2 linked regions of the Anolis sagrei genome follow. The protein of the gene in region 1 interacts with the protein of each later gene in a biochemical or structural test. Links are inferred from orthologs where the notes say so. Each region holds a gene or a part of one and is shown in the gene's direction. Other genes may lie near its edges. The genes, in order: CDC25B and YWHAQ.

Region 1 (10,696 bases):
CCCAAGAGATTTGCAGGATTTTCCAGATGCAAAAAGTAATAACCATCACCATCATCATCATAATCGTTAAATATTTTATTATTATTTGAAACACAACAAGATTGGTACACAGCAGACAAGGTCACTCTGCTGGCTGTTGTTGTCGTTGTTGTTATTATTATTATTATTTGAGACACAAAAAGATGAGTCCACAGCAGACAAGATCACTCTGCTGGCTGTTGTATTGGATCCCATGTCGGACCCTTCCCAAGTATCTTGGACTGTGTGATGTATTGGCAAATAATGCGTGCAGATCCCAGTAAGGTGGCCTTTTGCAAATGGCAGATGGTAATCTTGTCAGCGCCAATTGTGTTTAAGTGCAGGCCAAGGTCTTCAGCCACTGCACCTGGTGTGCCGATCACCACTGGGACCCCCTTGACTGTCTTGTGCCAGAGTCTTTGCAGTTCGATCTTTAAATCCTCAATTTATTATTATTATTTATATTAATTTTTTTCATTTAATTTATTTTTTACTTCTTCTTCTTCTTCTTCTTAATACTAATATTACAAAGGCTGGATGGCCACCTGTTGGCAGATGGCAGATGGTAATCTTGTTGGTGCCGATTGTTTTTAAGTGCAGACCAAGGTCTTGAGGCACTGCACCCGGTGTGCCCATCACCACTGGGACCATCTTGACTGGTTTGTGCCAGAGTCTTTGCATTTATTGTTTTATTATTATTTTTATTAATTATTATTGTTATTATTATTTGTAGTAATTATTTTAATTTTATTTTATTATTTTATTTATTTTAAATAGTAATTTTTATTACTATTAATAATAATAATTTTATTAAATATTATTATTAATTATTTTTAATTTTATATTATTGTTATTTTATTTATGTTTTACTTATTATTATTATTATTATACTATTATTATTATTATTATTTATTAAATAGTATTTATTATTATTATTATTGTTACTATTGTTGTTGTTATTATTGATGGGCTAGGGGTCAAAAAAAAAAGCCGGGTTGCAGCTAAACGTCAAAAAAACCAAGATTATGGCAACAAGAATGATTGACAACTGGAAAATAGAGGGAGAAAATGTGGAGGCCGTGACAGACTTTGTATTTCTAGGCGCAAAGATGAGTGTGGACGCAGACTGTGGCCAGGAAATCAGGAGACGCTTCCTTCTTGGGAGGAGAGCAATGTCCAGTCTCGATAAAAGAGTCAAGAGCAGAGACATCAGACTGGCAACCAAGATCCATTGCCTAGTCCAAGCCATGGTCTTCCCTGGAGTCACCTACGGATGTGAGAGCTAGACCTTCGGGAAGGCTGAGCAAAGGAAGAGAGATGCTTTTGAGCTGTGGTGTTGGAGGAAAGTTCTGAGAGTGCCTTGGGCTGCGAGAAGATCCAACCAGTCCATCCTCCAGGAAATAAAGCCCGGCTGCTCACTGGAGGGAAGGAGATGAGAGACAAAGTTGAAGTCCTTTGAATGCCACATCATGAGGAGACAGCAAAGCCTGGAGAAGGGAATGATGCTGGGGAAAGTGGAAGGCAAAAGGAAGAGGGGCCGACCAAGGGCAAGGTGGATGGATGGCATCCTTGAGGTGACTGGACTGACCTTGAAGGAGACCCTGGGGGTGGTGACGGCCGACAGGGAGCTCTGGCGTGGGCTGGTCCAGGAGGTCACCTAGAGAAGACAATGATGCTGGGGAAAGTGGAAGGCAAAAGGAAGAGGGGCCGACCAAGGGCAAGATGGATGGATGGCATCCTTGGAGGGACTGGACTGACCTTGAAGGAGACCCTGGGGGTGGTGACGGCCGACAGGGAGCTCTGGCGTGGGCTGGTCCAGGAGGTCACCTAGAGAAGACAATGATGCTGGGGAAAGTGGAAGGCAAAAGGAAGAGGGGCCGACCAAGGGCAAGGTGGATGGATGGCATCCTTGAAGTGACTGGACTGACCTTGAAGGAGCTGGGGGTGGCCACGGCCGACAGGGAGCTTTGGTGTGGGCTGGTCCAGGAGATCACCTAGAGAAGACAATGATGCTGGGGAAAGTGGAAGGTAAAAGGAAGAGGGGCCGACCAAGGGCAAGGTGGAGGGATGGCATCCTTGAAGTGACTGGACTGACCTTGAAGGAGCTGGGGGTGGTGACAGCCGACAAGGAGCTTTGGCGTGGGCTGGTCCAGGAGGTCACCTAGAGAAGACAATGATGCTGGGGAAAGTGGAAGGCAAAAGGAAGAGGGGCCGACCAAGGGCAAGGTGGATGGATGGCATCCTTGAAGGGACTGGACTGACCTTGAAGGAGTTGGGGGTGGTGACGGCCGACAGGGAGCTTTGGCGTGGGCTGGTCCATGAGGTCACCTAGAGAAGACAATGATGCTGGGGAAAGTGGAAGGCAAAAGGAAGAGGGGCCGACCAAGGGCAAGGTGGATGGATGGCATCCTTGAAGGGACTGGACTGACCTTGAAGGAGTTGGGGGTGGTGACGGCCGACAGGGAGCTTTGGCGTGGGCTGGTCCATGAGGTCACCTAGAGAAGACAATGATGCTGGGGAAAGTGGAAGGCAAAAGGAAGAGGGGCCGACCAAGGGCAAGGTGGAGGGATGGCATCCTTGAAGTGACTGGACTGACCTTGAAGGAGCTGGGGGTGGTGACAGCCGACAAGGAGCTTTGGCGTGGGCTGGTCCAGGAGGTCACCTAGAGAAGACAATGATGCTGGGGAAAGTGGAAGGCAAAAGGAAGAGGGGCCGACCAAGGGCAAGGTGGATGGATGGCATCCTTGAAGGGACTGGACTGACCTTGAAGGAGTTGGGGGTGGTGACGGCCGACAGGGAGCTTTGGCGTGGGCTGGTCCATGAGGTCACCTAGAGAAGACAATGATGCTGGGGAAAGTGGAAGGCAAAAGGAAGAGGGGCCGACCAAGGGCAAGGTGGATGGATGGCATCCTTGAAGGGACTGGACTGACCTTGAAGGAGTTGGGGGTGGTGACGGCCGACAGGGAGCTTTGGCGTGGGCTGGTCCATGAGGTCACCTAGAGAAGACAATGATGCTGGGGAAGGTGGAAGGCAAAAGGAAGAGGGGCTGACCAAGGGCAAGGTGGATGGATGGCATCCTTGAAGGGACTGGACTGACCTTGAAGGAGTTGGGGGTGGTGACGGCCGACAGGGAGCTTTGGCGTGGGCTGGTCCATGAGGTCACCTAGAGAAGACAATGATGCTGGGGAAAGTGGAAGGCAAAAGGAAGAGGGGCCGACCAAGGGCAAGGTGGATGGATGGCATCCTTGAAGGGACTGGACTGACCTTGAAGGAGTTGGGGGTGGTGACGGCCGACAGGGAGCTTTGGCGTGGGCTGGTCCATGAGGTCACCTAGAGAAGACAATGATGCTGGGGAAAGTGGAAGGCAAAAGGAAGAGGGGCCGACCAAGGGCAAGGTGGATGGATGGCATCCTTGAAGGGACTGGACTGACCTTGAAGGAGTTGGGGGTGGTGACGGCCGACAGGGAGCTTTGGCGTGGGGTCACCTAGAGAAGACAATGATGCTGGGGAAGGTGGAAGGCAAAAGGAAGAGGGGCCGACCAAGGGCAAGATGGATGGACGGCATCCTTGAAGTGACTGGACTGACCTTGAAGGAGACACTGGGGGTGGTGACGGCTGACAGTGAGCTCTGGCGTGGGCTGGTCCATGAGGTCACGAAGAGTCGGAGACGACTGAACGAATGAACAACAACAGGGGTCAAAAAGTAAGTGCCTGCCACCGGTGTTTTTGGTTGCGTCTACACCAGGGGCTCTCAAACTATGGCCCGGGGGCCGGATGTGGCCCTCCAAGGTCATTAACCCGGCCCTCGCTCAGGGTCAACCTAAGTCTGAAACGACTTGAAAGCACACAACAACAACAACAACAACCCTATCTCATCAGCCAAAAGCAGGCCCACACTTCCCATTGGAATACTAATAAGTTTATATTTGTTAACATTTTAATTATTGTATTGTTTTTAAGTGTTTTTTACACTACAAATAAGAGACCAGCAGCCGGCAGCCAATCCGCGCGCAGGAAGGAGGGCAGGCACCCGGAAGTCGGGAAGGAAGCAAAGGCAAGCATGAAAGAAGGAAGGAAGGAAGGAGCGGGTTTAAACCGCATCAGCCCTACTGTGTGGACGCTCCCGAAGACAGGGGTGGCAGGCACTTACTTTTTCACACCTAGCCCCTCACTTATAAGAACAACCACAATAGCAATAACAATAATAAAAAATAAAGTTATTATTATTATTGTTTTGTTTTTCAAATTATAATCCGGCCCTCCAACAGTTTGAGGGACTGTGACCTGGCCCTCTGCTTAAAAAGTTTGAGGACCCCTGGTCTACACAGTAGAGCTGATGGGAGTGATCCTGGACTCATCGCTGAGCCTGGAACCCCAGGTCTCAGCGGTGGCCGGGAGAGCTTTCGCACAATTAAAACTTGTGCGCCAGCTGCGCCCGTACCTTGAGAAGCCAGATCTGGCCACGGTGGTCCACGCTCTTGTCACATCCCGGTTGGATTACTGCAATGCACTCTACGTGGGGTTGCCTTTGAAGACTGCTCGGAAACTATTATTTTATTTATTTATTTGCTGCATTTGTTAACTGCCGCTCTCAGCCCTAGGGCGACTCGCGGCGGTGTACAACATATAAAAAACACATTTTACAATAACTACAACGACAAAAAAAACAACATATCACTAATACACTATCATCTAATTACACTAAAATAATCCGCTTCGTCTTATCATAGAATCATAACCAATCTCGTAGTCTATACAATTAGTCCAGCGAGAAGCAGCCAGATTGCTCACTGGAGCGGCGTACAGGGAGCACACCACCCCCCTGCTACATCAGCTCCACTGGCTGCCGATCCAATTCCGAGCACAATTCAAAGTGCTGGTTTTAACCTACAAAACCCTATACGGTTCCGGCCCAGTGTATCTGTCCGAACGGATCTCCATCTACATCCCACCTCGGAGTCTAAGATCTTCTGGGGAGGCCCTGCTCTCGACCCCGCCTCTATCTCAAGCGAGGCTGGCGGGGACGAGGAGCAGGGCCTTCTCGGTGGTGGCCCCTCACCTGTGGAACTCACTCCCCGGGGAGATCAGATCAGCGACCTCCCTTCTGTCGTTCAGAAAAAAACTGAAGGCCTGGATCTGGGACCAAGCTTTTGGACATTCTGGCAGCTAAAATAAGGACTCATTGATGAGCAGGAATTGTTGGAATGAATGGACATTTCGGAACTCTGAATCTCACTGTGCATGAAATTGTTTTTATTATATTATGTAGTGATGTGTTTTAATGCTGCTAAATGTTTATACTGTTTTATATATGCTGTATATTTTGACAGGCATCGAATTTGGGCCTTTGTTTGTAAGCCGCCCTGAGTCCCCCCTCGGGGGTGAGAAGGGCGGGGTAGAAGTAACTGCAATACATAAATAAATAATAATAAATGATGCGGTTTAAACCCGCTCCTTCCTTCTTTCCTTTCTGCTTGCCTTTCCTTCCTCCCTGACTTCCGGGTGCCTGCCCTCCTTCCTGCGCGCGGATTGGCTGCCGCCTGCTGCTCTCTTTGGCGCTGTTATTTTTCGAATATCAATAGAGGGGGCGTGTCGGGGGCGTGGCTTGGGCTGAGGCCCCGCCCCTTGGGTATAAAAGCGGGTCCTCCTTCCCGCGCTGGCTCCATTCGGCCTGGACTTCCTGAGGAGTCGGTGGGACTGCTGCCGCTGCCGCCTTCCTACTCCTGGCCTGTGTGTTGTATAGGAAGGAAGGCAGGCAGGCAGGCAGGCAGGCAAGGCAAGGCAAGGCGAGAGAAAGCATGGATCCCCGCCGGCCCACCAGCAGCTTGGGTTGGGGCCTCTCCCCGGTGGCCAGCCTGGCCCTCAACATGGACAGACTGGCCGGCCTAGGAAGGTCAGTCTCTCTATTTACATATCTAGATATCTATCTATATCCATCTCTGTATTTCCCTCTGTGTGTGTCTCTCTCTCTCTAAATATCTATTAATCTCTGTTTAAATATCTCTCTCTATATCTCTGTAGATATATATCTTTCTGTAGAAATACCTCTAAATATCAATTTCTCTCTATATTGAATATATCTCTGTCTCTATAAATATATCTCTCTCTTTAAATATCTATTTCTCTATATCTCTATCAATCTCTCAATAAAAATAAATCTAACTATAAATATCTCTCTGTGCCTCTCTCTATATCTATTAATCTCTCAATAGATAGACATCTAATTATAAATAGATATCTCTCTGTATTCCTCTCTCTCTGTTAAATATCTCTCTGCTTAAATATATCTCTATATATCTATAAATATATCTCTATATATTTATATATCTATATCCATCTCTGTATTTCTCTCTCCCCCCTTCTCTCTCTCTATATGTAAATATATATTTCTCTCTGTTTAAATATATCTCTCTATATCTATAAATATATCTCTTTATCTCTGTAGATATTTATCTTTCTGTAGAAATACCTCTAAATATCAATTTCTCTCTCTGTTAAATATTTCTCTGTCTCTATCTATCTATCTCTCAATAAAAATCTAACTATAAATATCTCTCTGTGCATCTCTCTATATATTTAAATATATCTACCTATCTATAAATAAATACCTATTTCTCTATATATATCTCTATCAATCTCTCAATAAAAATAAATCTAACTATAAATATCTCTCTGTGCCTCTCTCTATATCTATTAATCTCTCAATAGATAGACATCTAATTATAAATATATATCTCTCTGTATTTCTCTCTCTAATATCTATTTATCTATATTTAAATATCTATATCTATTAAATATCTCTGTTTAAATATCTCTATATATCTATAAATATATCTCTGTAAATATATCTCTGTAAATATATCTCTGTCTATAAATATATCTCTCCATAAATATATATTTATTTCTCTCTATATATTTATATATCTATATCCATCTCTGTATTTATCTCCCTCTCTCTCCATATGTAAATATATCTTTCTCTCTGTTTAAATATCTCTAAATATCTATAAATATATCTCTTTATCTCTGTATGTGTGTGTGTGTGTATATATATATATATATCTTTCTGTAGAAATTTCTGTATATATCAATTTATATATATATCTGTTAAATATATCTCTATAAATATATATCTCTCTTTAAATATCTATTTCTCTATATATCCGTCAATCTCTCAATAAAAATAAAAATAAATCTAACTATAAATATATCTCTGTGCCTCTCTCTCTATTAATCTCTCAATAGATAGACATCTAATTATAAATATATATAAATATATATAAATAAATATATATATATATATATCTGTATTTCTCTCTCTCTAAATATCTCTTTATCTATATTTAAATATCTCTATATCTCTCTATTTATATATCTATATATCCATCTCTGCATTTCTCTCTCTCCATATGTAAATATATATTTCTCTCTGTTTAAATATCTCTCTATATCTATAAATATATCTCTCTCTATCTCTGTATATATCTCTCTTTCTGTAGAAATACCTCTAAATATCAATTTCTCTCTCTATATATATCTGTTAAATATATCTGTCTCTATAAGTATATATATCTCTCTCTTTAAATAGCTATTTCTCTATATATCTATCAATCTCTCAATAAAAATAAATCTAACTATAAATATATCTCTGTGCATCTCTATAAATATATATATTTAAATATATATATATATCTGCCTATCTATAACTAAATATCTATCTCTCTATATATATCTATTAATCTCTCAATAAATATATATCTAACTATAAATATCTCTCTCCGCATTTATCTCTCTGTGCATCTCTATATATATTTAAATATATCTATATATTTACCTATAAATAAATACCTATTTCTCTATATATCTATCAATCTCTCAATAAAAATAGATCTAACTAAATATATCTCTGTGCCTCTCTCTATATATATTCATTTCTCAATAGATAGACATCTAATTATAAATAGATATATCTCTGTATTTCTCACTCTCTCTGTCTCTGTAAATACATATTTATATTTAAATATCTCTATATCTATCTATAAATATATCTCTTCATCTCTAGAAATATCTCTATATATCAATCCCTCTCTATATACATATCGCTTAAATCTCTCTGTCTCTCTCTCTAGATATCTATCTATATATCCATCTCTGTATTTCTCTCTCTAAATATCTATTTATCTATATTTAAATATCTCTATATATCTATAAATATATCTCTTTCTCTCTCTCTCTCTCTCTGTGTATATATCTTTCTGTACAAATACCTCTATATATCAATTTCTTTCTCTATATATATATCTGTTAAATCTGTCTCTATAAATATATATATATATTTCTATATATCTATTAATCTCTCAATAGATATACATCTAACTATAAATATATATATATATATCTGTATTTCTCACTCTCTATGTCTCTTTGTGTCTCTAAATCTATATTTATCTATATTTAAATATCTCTCTCTATATAAATAAATAAATAAATATATCTTTATCTCTGTAAATATATCTTCTGTATAAAAATCTATATATATATATCAATCTCTATATATCTCAATATACCTCTCTATAATCTATAGATTATATCTATTAACCTCTCAATAAATATATATCTAACTATAAATATATGTATCTATATTTCTCTATCTCTCTGGGTCTCTCTATAAATACATATCTATATTTATATCTATATCTCTTTCAATATATGTCTGTAAATATATCTTTCTGTATAAATATCTCTTTATATAAATATATCTTTCTATAAATATCTATTTCTCTTAATGTCTATTAATCTCTCAATAAATATATATCTTAACTATATATATATCTGTATTTCTCTATCTCTCTATGGCTCTCTCTCTATATATCTACATTTAAATATATATCTCTCTTCCTATATATATATATATATGTAAATATATCTTTCTCTCTCTATAAATATATCTCTATAAATATTTATTTCTCTATATGTCTATTAATCTCTCTCTCTATATAAAACTATATATATATATATATCGCTATATATATCTACATTTACATATATCTATATATCTCCATATATATATATATATATATATATATATATATATATATCTTTCTGTATAAATATCTCTCTATAAATATCTCTCTATAAATATATATATCTTAAATATATCTCTGCTTCTCTCTCTCTCTCTATATATATATATCTGTATTTCTCTATAAATCTCTCTCTATATAAATATAAATATATCTATCCCTCTATAAATACCTTTCTATATTGCTCTCTTTTTCGTTATATAGCTATAAAATCTGTATCACTATAAATATATTTATCTCTGACTATGTATATCTACTTTTATTTCAGTCTCTCTCTATATAAATATATCTCTATAAATATATATATCTGTATCAATAGTTGTGTGAGTGGGGTGCTGGGAGGGGGGGCTCCCCTGTTTTGCAGGCCTCAACGGGGGCCACTCCAAGAGACCCCTTGCCCCCCCCCAAAGGAGTATTATGACTAATAATAACAATAAATATATTGGTATCATTCATATTAATCCTAATAGTATGTTAATAACAACAATAATGATTATATATTTCTGTCAATATACTGTTGTTATTAATGTTAATAGGTTAGTGGTGTTATTGTTTGGCCTTGTTCTGACTCCATTTGTCTTCCGTGGTCATCCGTGTCCTTTCCCCAATTCTCTGTCTCCTCAAACACGTGGGGAAAGTGGCCCAAGCTTTGCTTTTGCAGGAGGGACCTCGCTCACCCATCGCAAGCACATTTGGCCCTCGTTTTGCAATGAGTCTCCTTCACTTCCTTCCTTCCTTCCACGTGTTCCTCTAACCCAGGATGTCGAGTCAGGTCATCCCACGAGATCTGCTTGGAACTGGGTGACCGGAGGCCCCTTCCACACCGCTGGACAAAATCCCACGTTGCCTGCTTGGAACTGGATTCTGTGGCAGTGTGGACTCAGATGACCCAGTGCAAAGCAGATCTGGTGGGAATTTCGGGTGAAGATCCCCCACCAAAACTGTGTGCAACTTTTAAGTAATTGCAGGCTGATTGGAAGGCCAAGGGAAGGCATGCATGTCGAGGAAGGAAGGAAGGTTGCAAGGGTATTATCAGTCACAAAGGGCATCTTGAAGCAATATATATATATATTCTAGCCGTCCCCTGCCACACATTGTTGTGGCCTAGTCTGTGTATATGTGTATTGTGTGTATATATATATGCATAGAATCATAGAATCATGGAATCCAAGAGTTGGAAGAGACCTCCTGGGCTATCCAGTCCAACCCCATTCTGCCAAGAAGCAGGAATATTGCATTCAAATCGCCCCTGACAGAGGGCCATCCAGCCTCTGCTTAAAAAGCTTCCAAAGAAGGAGCCTCCACCACACTCCCTCCGGGGAAAGCAGAGAGTTCCACTGCTGAACGGCTCTCACAGTCAGGAAGTTCTTCCTCATGTTCAGATGGAATCTCCTCTCTTGTAGTTTGAAGCCATTGTTCCATTGCGTCCTAGTCTCCAGGGAAGCAGAACACAAGCTTGCTCCCTCCTCCTCCCTGTGGCTTCCTCTCACATATTTATACATGGCTATCACATCTCCTCTCAGCCTTCTCTTCTTCAGGCTAAACATGCCCAGCTCCTTAAGCCGCTCCTCATAGGGCTTGTTCTCCAGACTCAT
Region 2 (10,095 bases), on another chromosome or scaffold:
GGGTCAACTGCCGTTAAAAGTCCTTTCCTTAGTAACAGGGTTGTTGCCAAAATCATTGTGAGATTTGTTTTGTTTTCTGTTTTTAAAAAAGACCTTGCTTTCTGCCTGAAGGACAAGGAAACAATCAGCTTGGCCTTGCCTACTAAGGAGGTCAAAGATTTGGAAGCAGCCAACAGACATTGAAAAAACCATTTCCCCATCTCTTCTATCTGTACTCCTGAGGATGAAGACCTCAAAGCTCAAGCATGGTTATGTGGGAGAATACAGTCCTTCAAATAGCCCAGATCCAAGTCAAATAGGACGTCACAGGTCATAACCAGCATTAGGCAGAACACTTGAGGTGAACCTGGCTAGTTGCCTTGCAAAATCTTGAACTGACAGACTTTATTCATCCCATCCAGAGTGAACTATCATCTGGCAGAAGCTCCCATCTTAACCGTAACTGCCTTGAAGTAAGCCTAACTTAACACAAGGGGAACCTATTTCCAAGTAGCTATGGTTACCATCGGACCATTTGTACATTATGACTCAGAACATAATTTAAGCAACATAGAAAGAAAAAAAATGTTTTCCAGTTGCTTTGGGTGGATGCGGTCTGAGTTCATTTTACTAAATGCCATTGTTACAGGACATTTTCCATATGGGATAAAGGGACAGGGTTATGATTTCTGTTCTAGCCACCATCTGAATTAAACCTCAGTTCCACATTGTTGGCTGAATTTTGAAATGTCTTGGTTTTTCTCTCTCCACTCCACTTTCACCTTTTGGCCTCAGCTTTCTTCAGTTTCTGCAGGCTGAGGCCCCTTCCACACAGCTGCATAAAATCCTACATTTTCTGCTTTCAAATGGAATACATGGCATGACTCAGATAACCCAGTTCAAAGCAGATATAGTGGGATTTTCTGCCTTGATATTCTGGGTTGTTTGGAAGGGTCCTTAGAGAGGAGGGGAGAGTCTTGCCTTTTCCAGTACATTCAGGCACAAGGAACCTCAAGTGCATCTACAATGTGGAATTAATGCAGTTGGACACCACTTTAACTGCTATGGCTGCATGCTATGGAACCATGGGAGTTTAAGGCTATATTGCCCTATATCTATTCTCTGTTTTGAACTGGATTATATGAGTCTCCACTATCAGATAATCAGGGATAAGAAGATAATTTGGGATTTTTTTTTCATGTCAGGAGTGACTTGAGAAACTGCAAGTAGCTTCTGGTGTGAGAGATTTTAACTATTTTAATATGTGATATTATAGATGTATTTAACTATGTTGTGCTCCATCTTGAGTAGAAAGCAGAGGCAGGTAATAAATAAAATATTATTTATTAAATGGAAACAATTAAAAATAGAACAGCTTTCAAATAAAAGCTACTTCTTCAAAAACATCCAGTCTGCAAAGGCCTTTTTATGAAGATGCCTATTATTATTATTATTATTATTATTATTATTATTTTATATTATACTTATTATTTTACTTGTCTCACCTAAAAATAGGGGGTACTGATATAAGCAATGCAGGTGCTTCTCGCCATCCCAAGAAAGGCACCCCAAATCTTAGAAGCCACCACTGAAAACACATTGTCTTTGTATCCCTACCAAAGAAGATTGCAGGAACAGTTCGGTTTAAACTTCAATGCAGGAACTGGATGCTTAGATCTCAGAGAGATGCTTTGGACTATGGACTGTTGCTTCTAAGGAAAATGCCCTGTGATACCTACAAAGATAAACTACTACAAAATCCTATTGTAACTGGATTCATAAGCAAAGTGCCTGTATGCTGTATACATGAAGTTTTGTGAGTAAATCAACTGTTACTTTTAAAGAAGACTTTATTTTGTCTCTTGAGAGCATGATTTAAAGGCAAATATATTTTAAGGGAGAGTAGATCTTTTTGGGCAACTAAAAAGGAATACTTCTGAAACTCTGCTAAATATATGTTTTTGTTCATTGACATGTCTTTGTCCTTAGCAGTTCAAAGACATACCTAGGTACATCAGTTCAACAGCTGAGAGACCTAGTTGCCTTGCATGAATGCTGGTGAAAGCAATTTTTTTCCCCAAAAGGTTGTGATTTCTAACAAGGTCATGCCTTTCCATTGATGAGTGGATTTCCAAAAAGGTTATGAATCCCATTTCCCAAATGGTTTTGGAGAGTCACATTTTCCAAAAAGGGCGATTGTGCCGGAGGTGATAATGTAGGTAACCTGGCCCCTCAAACTATGGGTAATGTTTATTTTTTATTTATTGTTGATTTGATGTGTTATTATTTGTTCACTTTCTTTTTATGTATCTAACTGCACTTCTTCATGTTATGACCTGCCCTGAGTCCCTCGGGGAGATGGGCCTGGGTACAAATAAAGATTAATATTACTATGTTTTTTTTAAAAAAAATAATGTTATTGAAAATTTTTACATAGTAGGTTGATATTACTATGTTAAGGATCAGTGTAGATGTGTATGTTGTGTTGTTGGACTCAGACTACCACCAGTCCTGGACATCTTCCACTAATGGGTTCCATTTAAAGAATAAAACAAAATGACATCTTCCCTATGCTCTTTATGCAAATCGCATATTTTTCTAGACCTACTCATTCCACCAAGACATTGATATAATGCAACTCAAAATTCTCAAAGTGTCACAAATCCTTAGTTAAACTTACCACAACAACTCCAAGTGATGGGGTATCCTACCTGCTCTGTGACTTTACACAACATACTCATACATCTATATAAATAAAAATGTAATGTTAGTTTGTGGGATTAACATAACTCAAAAACCACTGGACGAATTGACACCAAATTTAGAAACAATAACACCTATCAGGCCAACAAGTGACCATCACCCATAAAAAAAATTGAAAAACACAGCAAAAAATGCTTTAAAAGCATTTTTTTAAAAAAAAAAATACAATGCATGCACAAAACCACATATACAAAAAATATATACACTCATATACACATACAAAATACATATACACAGACTGGGCCACAGCAACGTGTGGCATGGGATGGCTAGTACTGTATAAGAAAGCAACAAGTAGGTAGACCCAATATCCTTTCTAACAAAATAGGGTAGGTTTTTTCTATTTAAGGTAATGATTCTCAGAAGATGATCAATAACAATCCTGCTAATTTTGAAAACACTGATCAGGTTATGTTAAAGATTCCCAAGCTCTCATTTGATTTTTGTTTTGCTATTATGTATAAGAGACACCGTTTTATTAGGCTGTAGGGGCAATGGCTCACCAGAACATGGCATATAATGGGACTTGAGCATCCACGGATTGGAGTATCCACAAAAGATCCTGGAACCAAACCATAGCAGATTTCAAGGGTTCAATATATGCCTACCGAGCCCACACTTTGCACATCAGAGAAAGTGAGGCTGAACCCCTGGAAGTTCATGCCAAATATTATTATGATACTTTTCACCTGCGCTCACAACTTCTGAGGATGCCTGTCAAGAGATGTGGGCAAAACGTCAGGAGAGAATGCTTCTGGAACACAGCCATACAGCCTGGAAAAAATCACAGCAACTTAATTGTTATTATTAAAATGATTTTAAAATATTATTTAATTTAAATATGTTATATTTAAGGTGACATTTCTTTTTTGTTGTTGATGCAACAGATTCAGCAGCCATTACTGTTGCTGTGGACAAGATACTTGGAGGGATGAGAGTGACCGCAGGGGGATTGGCAGAGTGGGTGAAGGTGGTGGTTAATGCCTCCCTTTGGGAAAATAACATTCCAGTGAGCTCAAAACAAGCTGTGATAAAAACTGCTGTTGAAAAAACCATCACTGGACCCCACTCAATTCGTCAACTATCGACCTGTTTCCAATCTACCCTTCTTGGGCAAAGTCCTGGAATGTATGGTGGCCTCACAACTCAAGGTATTCTTGGAAGACATGGATTATCTGGACCCAGCACAGTCTGGTTTTAGGCCGGGACATGGTACCAAGACAGCCTTGGTTGCTTTAGTGGATAATCTACGCCAGGTGCTAGACAGGGGGAGTGTGTCCCTGTTGGTTCTGCTGGACCTCTCAGCGGCCTTCAATACCATTGATCACAGTATCCTTCTGGGATGCCTCACAGGAATGGGCCTTGGAAGCACTGTTTTGCAGTGACTCCAGTCCTTTCTGGAGGGTCGCATCCAGAAGGTGTTGTTGCGGGACACCTGTTCAACTCCACAACCATTGTCTTGTGGGGTTCTGCAGGGCTCAATACTGCCCCCATGTTATTTAACATCTACATGAAGCCACTAGGGGAGATCATCTGGAGTTTTGGGGTGCGGTGTCACCTGTATGCAGATGACATCCAACTGGACTGGATGAGGGCAAACAAATAGAAATTGAATTCAGACAAGACAGAGGTACTCCTGGTCAGTCGTAAGGCTGAACAGGGCATAGGGTTACAGCCTGTGTTAGACGGGGTTACACTCCCCCTGAAGGTGCAGGCTTGCAGCTTGGGTGTGATCCTGGATTCATAGTTGAGCCTGGAACCTCAGGTCTGGGTGGTGACCAGGAGAGCATTTGCACAATTAAAACTTGTGTGCCAGCTGTGCCCGTACCTTGAGAAGTCTGATTTGGCAATAGTAGTCCATGTTCTGGTTACATCCCATATGGACTACTGCAACGTGCTCTACGTGGGGTTGCCTTTGAAGACTGTCTGGAAGCTAGAAATGGTCCAGCGTGCGGCAGCCAGGTTACTAAGAGGAGCGGCGCTCAGGGAGCATACAACTCCACAGTGCGCCAGCTCCACTGGCTGCCAGTGTGCTACCAGGCACAATTAAAAGTGCTGGCTTTAGCCTATAAAGCCCTAAACAGTTCTGGCCCAACTTACCTATCCGAACATGTCTCCCCTTATGAACCTTCCAGGAATTTAAGATCATCTGGGGAGGCCCTGCTCTTGATTCCACCTGCCTCACAGGTGGGCTTGGTGGGGATGAGGGACAGGGCCTTCTCAGTGGTGCCCCCTCAGCTGTGGAACTCCCTTTCTGGGGATATTAGATCGGCCCTCTCCCTCCTGACCTTTAGGAAAAATCTGGCTCTTCGACCAAGCTTTTGGAACCTCATTGTAACCAGATATACTGTGAACGGATATGGAACGACTTGACGATGCAAATGGACATGGATTTAAACCTGGAAGTCATTTTTTATAGTTTTAAATTGTTTTAATATGAATTTTATTATGTGATTTAATGTATTTACGTGTCTTCGGCATCTAATTGTGGCCAGTCTGTATGCCGCCCTCAGTCGCCTTTGGGCTAAAAAGGGCAGGATAAAAGTGTGATAAATAAATCCATACATAAATATATAACGAAGGGCCGCGTTTGCAAGGCAAGGCAAGGGGCGAAGCATCAGAACTCATTAGCTTTGCAAAAGCCTCTTCCTGGCGCAGAGGAAAGGGTATATTGATAGGGATTAGGAGAGGAGCTGCCGCTATTTCTGGATCCCCGCGAGGCCATGGCTGGTCATGCCTTGTAACGTTGCCCGCTAAGCCCCTGCGAAAGCCACCCTCCTTGGCTTTGAAGGCGGGATGCCTGCTCCAATTCCGGCATTTCCTCCGCATGGAGGACTCAAGGTCTTTATCTGCGGCTCGCATTCCTCCCCTGAAGACTTTGACCTTCCTTCCTGTGCTGCTTGGTGGAGGCAGCAGCAGCAACTCAGCATGCATGGCAAACCCTCCTCCTCCTCCTCCTCTCCCGTTTGCTTTTCCCTCCCGCTTTGCAAGGAGCAGCACGAGACGGTGCCTGACTCCCTGCCCTCGCTTCCGCACCGTCTCGTGCCTCGCCCTGGCTCCTAGGGAAGAGCCGCTTTTGCGCATGTGCGGGGGAGAAAAAAAAAAAGAACAAGGGAGAGGAGAGGAGGGGGGTTGTAGCGGCGTCGCTATGGCGACAGTGACGTCATCCCACCCTGGATCTAATTGGAGGAAACCCCGTGGCCCCAGCTGCCGCAAGCACCGGCCAACCGAGCTTGGGCCCTGCTGGTTAGCTTAGTCCTCTCCGCGGCCGCGCGCATGGCTGCCATTGGCCGCCAGGGACCTCGAAGGCGGGGCCCGGGCAGGGATCGCCGGTGCCGATTGGCCGAGCCGCGAGAGCGCGGGCCCTTGCCGCGGAGTGGGTTCGCGCTTTGTGCCAACGCCCTGTAGCAGCGACGCTGTTCCTCGCGCCTGCGACGGGAGCGGCTTTCTGTCTCTCTCTCTCTCTCTCTCTTCCTCCCCCGCCCTCCTCCTTCCTCTCCTTCCTTCCGTCCTTCCTTGCTTCCTTCCTTCCTTCCGAGCGCAGTCGACTTGAGCAGAAGGCGCGCGCCGGCACGGCCTCGCGCCCCCCTGAGACTCAGCAGCGGCAGCAGCAGCAGCGGCGGACTCAGGTGAGGGAAAGGGGTCGAGGAAGAAAAAAAAGAGAGAGAGGGCGCGAGGGCACGTCCTCGCGCCGCGGGTGGCCTCGCCTCTCTTCGCCTCTCCTCGCGGTGGCGTCCATTTTGTGGAGGACGGAAGAGCCGCGGAGGGAAGAGAGGCAGCTAGAAAGAGAGAGACACACACACACACACACAGAGAAAGAGAGGCGGCACCTTCACCACCAGCGCCGCCATTTCGCACCGGCCTTTTCTGGAAGGCAAGGGAGGCGCCTCTCGGTCGAGTGGGCCTTCCCCTGCCCTGCCCGCTCACCTTCTTTTCCTGCCGCCCTTCTGAAGGGAGGTGGGGGAGCCCTTCTTCCTTTGTACCTCCTCATCCCCTTCCTGATCCCCTTGTGTTTCACCGTTTTGCTTTCACTCCTCTCTCCCCTCACTCCCTTTTGCTGTCCTCTCTTTCCGCCTCCTTCCCCTTTTTTCTTCCCTCCCCTCCCCCATTTTCCTCCTTCCCTCCTTCCCCTCCCTTCTGCGGACAAAGATTTCACACCTTGGGCGCGCCCTCCTCTTTCTCCTCGCTCCCTCCTTCTTCTCCCTTCCACACAGCCCTCTTTCCCAGAATATCAAGTCAGGAAATCCCACAATACTTGCTTCGAACCGGGGTATCTTGGGGGCCCTTCCACACAACCCTCTATCCCAGAATATCAAGGCAGGAAATACCTGCTTTGTACAGGGTTATCTGAGGGCCCTTCCACACAGCCCTCTTTTCCAGAATATCAAGGCAGGAAATCCCACAATACCTGCTTTGAACCGGGGTATCTTGGGGGCCTTTCCATACAACCCTCTATTCCAGAATATCAAGGCAGGAAATACCTGCTTTGAACCAGGGTATCTTGGGGGCCCTTCCACACAACCTGCTATCCCAGAATATCAAGGCAGGAAATCCCACAATACTTGCTTTGAACCGGGGTATCTGGGGGCCCTTCCACACAACTCTCTATCCCAGAATATCTCACATTATTTGCTTTGAATTTGGATATATAGAATTGTGGACTCAGATAACCAAGGGCCCTTCCACATAGCTGAATAAAATCTCGCATTTCTGCTTTGAACTGGAATATATAGAAGTGTGGGCTCAGGGCCCTTCCACATTACTATATAACCCAGTTCAAAGCAGATAATGTGAGATTATATACAGATGTGTGGAAGGGGCCTTAGATAACTCAGCGCCCTTCCACACAGCCCTATATCCCAAAATATCTAGTTAGAAAATCCCTCATCTGCGTGTGGACTCAGATTTATATATTTTTTGTTCGTGTCAGAAGCGACCTGAGAAAGTGCAAGTCTCTTCTGGTGTGAGAGAATAAGCTGACTGCAAGGACGTTGCCCAGGGGACGCCCAGATGATTTTGATGTTTTATCATCCTGTGGACTCAGATCACTCAGTTCAAAGATATTCTGGGATATAGGGCTGTATGGAAGGCCCATTACCTTTGAAAGGAGTCTTACCCACACAGTGATGTGAAAGTCACTCTATGTTGGAATCCTGATTTTTTTACTTATTCTATTTTGCCAGGCATTGACAACACCTGAATAGTTCAGAATATCTGCCAGCCTCATATGACCAACCAGGGAAGGGCAGGGTCAGACAGTGCATGGACACAAAAGCCCTTTTTGATTTGGGGCCCTTCCACACAACCATATAACCCAGAATATCAAGGCAGGAAATCCCACAATATCTGCTTTCAGGTGGGTTATCTGAGGGCCCTTCCACTCAGCCCTATATCCCAGAATATCTGCTGGGTTTGAGTTCCTACTCAGATAATGTGCAATTTTCTGCCTTGATATTCTGGGACATAGGGCTGTGTGGAAGGGCCCTAAATTATCTGAATCCACACTGCCGTATATTCCAGTTCAAAGCAGATTTTCTGCCATGATATTCTGGGATATAGGACTGTGTGGAAGAGCCATCAGATAACCCAGTTCAAAGCAGATATTGTTAGATTTTCTGCCTTGATATTCTGGGCTATATGACTCGGTGTGGAAAGGCTCCCACTCCTGGCCTTTCTTCTTGGCCCCTCTTTTGGCTTTATTCCTGTTGCTCATTTCCTTGTTTTGCCTGCCAGGCTTTCCCACCTCAAGGTGCATTTATACTGCAGAGTGAATGCATCATGGCACCCCTTTGTAACTGCCATGGATCAGTGCCGTGAAATCCGAGGTCTATAGATCTGTGAAGCACCTGCCCTCTTAGGCACAGATGGCTAAACACCCACCCTTCTACACAGCTATGTAACCCAGAATATTAAAGCAGATAATCCACGATATCTGCTTTGAACTGGGACCCCTTCCTCACAGCGAATCCCACATTTTCTGCTTTGAACTGGAATATATGGCAGTGTGGACTCAGATAGCCCAGTTCAAAGCCGATATTGTGGATTTTCTGCTTAGATATTCTGGGTTATATGGCTGTGTGGAAGGACCCTGGGTTATCTGGGTCCATACTGCCATATATTCCAGTTCAAAACAGGAAATGTGGGTTTTTATTCAGTTCAGTGGGCCCTTCCACACAGCCCTATATCCTAGAATATCAAGGGAGGACATCCCACATTATCTGAGTGTGGACTCAGATAACCCAGTTCAAAGCAGATATTTTGGGATTTTCTGCCTTGATGTTCTGGGTTATTGGACTGTGGAAGGGGCCCCAGGGCCCTTCCACAGAGCTATATAACACAGAGTATCAAGACAAATAATGCATAATAACTGCTTTGAACCAGGTTATCTGAGTCCACACTGCCATATATTCCAGTTCAAAGCAAATAATGTGGGATTTTATTCAGCTGTGTGGAAAGGGCCCCAGTAAAAGGGCAACTCCCAGGAGTCCACAGGATTGAACCATGCCAAGCAAAGGGGGGTGTCGACTGCATTAATTCAGCAGAATAGACGCAGCCTTTGCCTCTCCCGCACCCGGCTTCCCTATTCTAGCCCTGCATGCCTCTGACGCCCTTCTGCACATGTCTTGCATTCTTATTAAAGGCTGCCCTTGATTTGAAGGCTTGATTCTTATTTCTGCAAATAGCACTCCTCCCCATGACTTGATCTCTTTGCTTCTGATTTACAAAAGAAGGGGCTGAATAGCTTTCAGATGCTGTTGAACTGCAGCTCCCATCCTTCATAGCTATGGATGTTGGGTAGAAATGATTGGAACCACAGTTCAACAGCAACACCCAGAATATCCAATCCTGAAGTAGGGACCTCTGTCCCGATCACTATTTCTAAGCACTGTAGGTACACCTGCACTGCACAATTTATGCAGTTCCATACTTGGTTAAGGGTCATGGCCCAAATATATGGGATCATGGGAGTTGTGGTTTTGCAAGGTCTTAAGCCTTTTGTGCCCAAGATGTCTTGTGCCCCACCAAACCACAATTCCCAGGATTCTACAGCACTGAGCCACTGTCCTTAAATTAATGTCAAACCGCATCAGTTCTACAGTGTAGATGCGGCCTTAATCGTAGCAACACAGTTTGAAGCTGCATTGTATGTGTCTACACCATACATGCACAACCCGTGACGCTCAGAAGTGTTTTGGACTTCAGCATTCTGACCATTGGACTAAACTAGGGCTCCTGGGAGTTGGATTCCCAAACATCTGGAGACCACAGATTGTGCTGGTCTGGTCTACATTGACCATATAGTGCAGATTCAAACTGTATTATGTGACAGTGCAGATCCAGCCGGATTGCTAT

Evidence for each region.
Region 2: the proteins of CDC25B (region 1) and YWHAQ form a complex in vitro, tested with the Homo sapiens proteins (2 studies listed by BioGRID). The link is inferred for Anolis sagrei from reciprocal best matches to the Homo sapiens genes CDC25B and YWHAQ.

The regions. Positions count from the first base shown.
Region 1 is NC_090025.1:1,199,190-1,209,885, forward strand, and holds the start of CDC25B (M-phase inducer phosphatase 2), read left to right. Parts: upstream 1-5,694; 5' UTR 5,695-5,816; coding exon 5,817-5,911; intron 5,912-10,696. UniProt on the Homo sapiens protein: Tyrosine protein phosphatase which functions as a dosage-dependent inducer of mitotic progression. Directly dephosphorylates CDK1 and stimulates its kinase activity.
Region 2 is NC_090021.1:130,706,104-130,716,198, forward strand, and holds the start of YWHAQ (14-3-3 protein theta), read left to right. Parts: upstream 1-6,110; 5' UTR 6,111-6,371; intron 6,372-10,095. UniProt on the Homo sapiens protein: Adapter protein implicated in the regulation of a large spectrum of both general and specialized signaling pathways. Binds to a large number of partners, usually by recognition of a phosphoserine or phosphothreonine motif.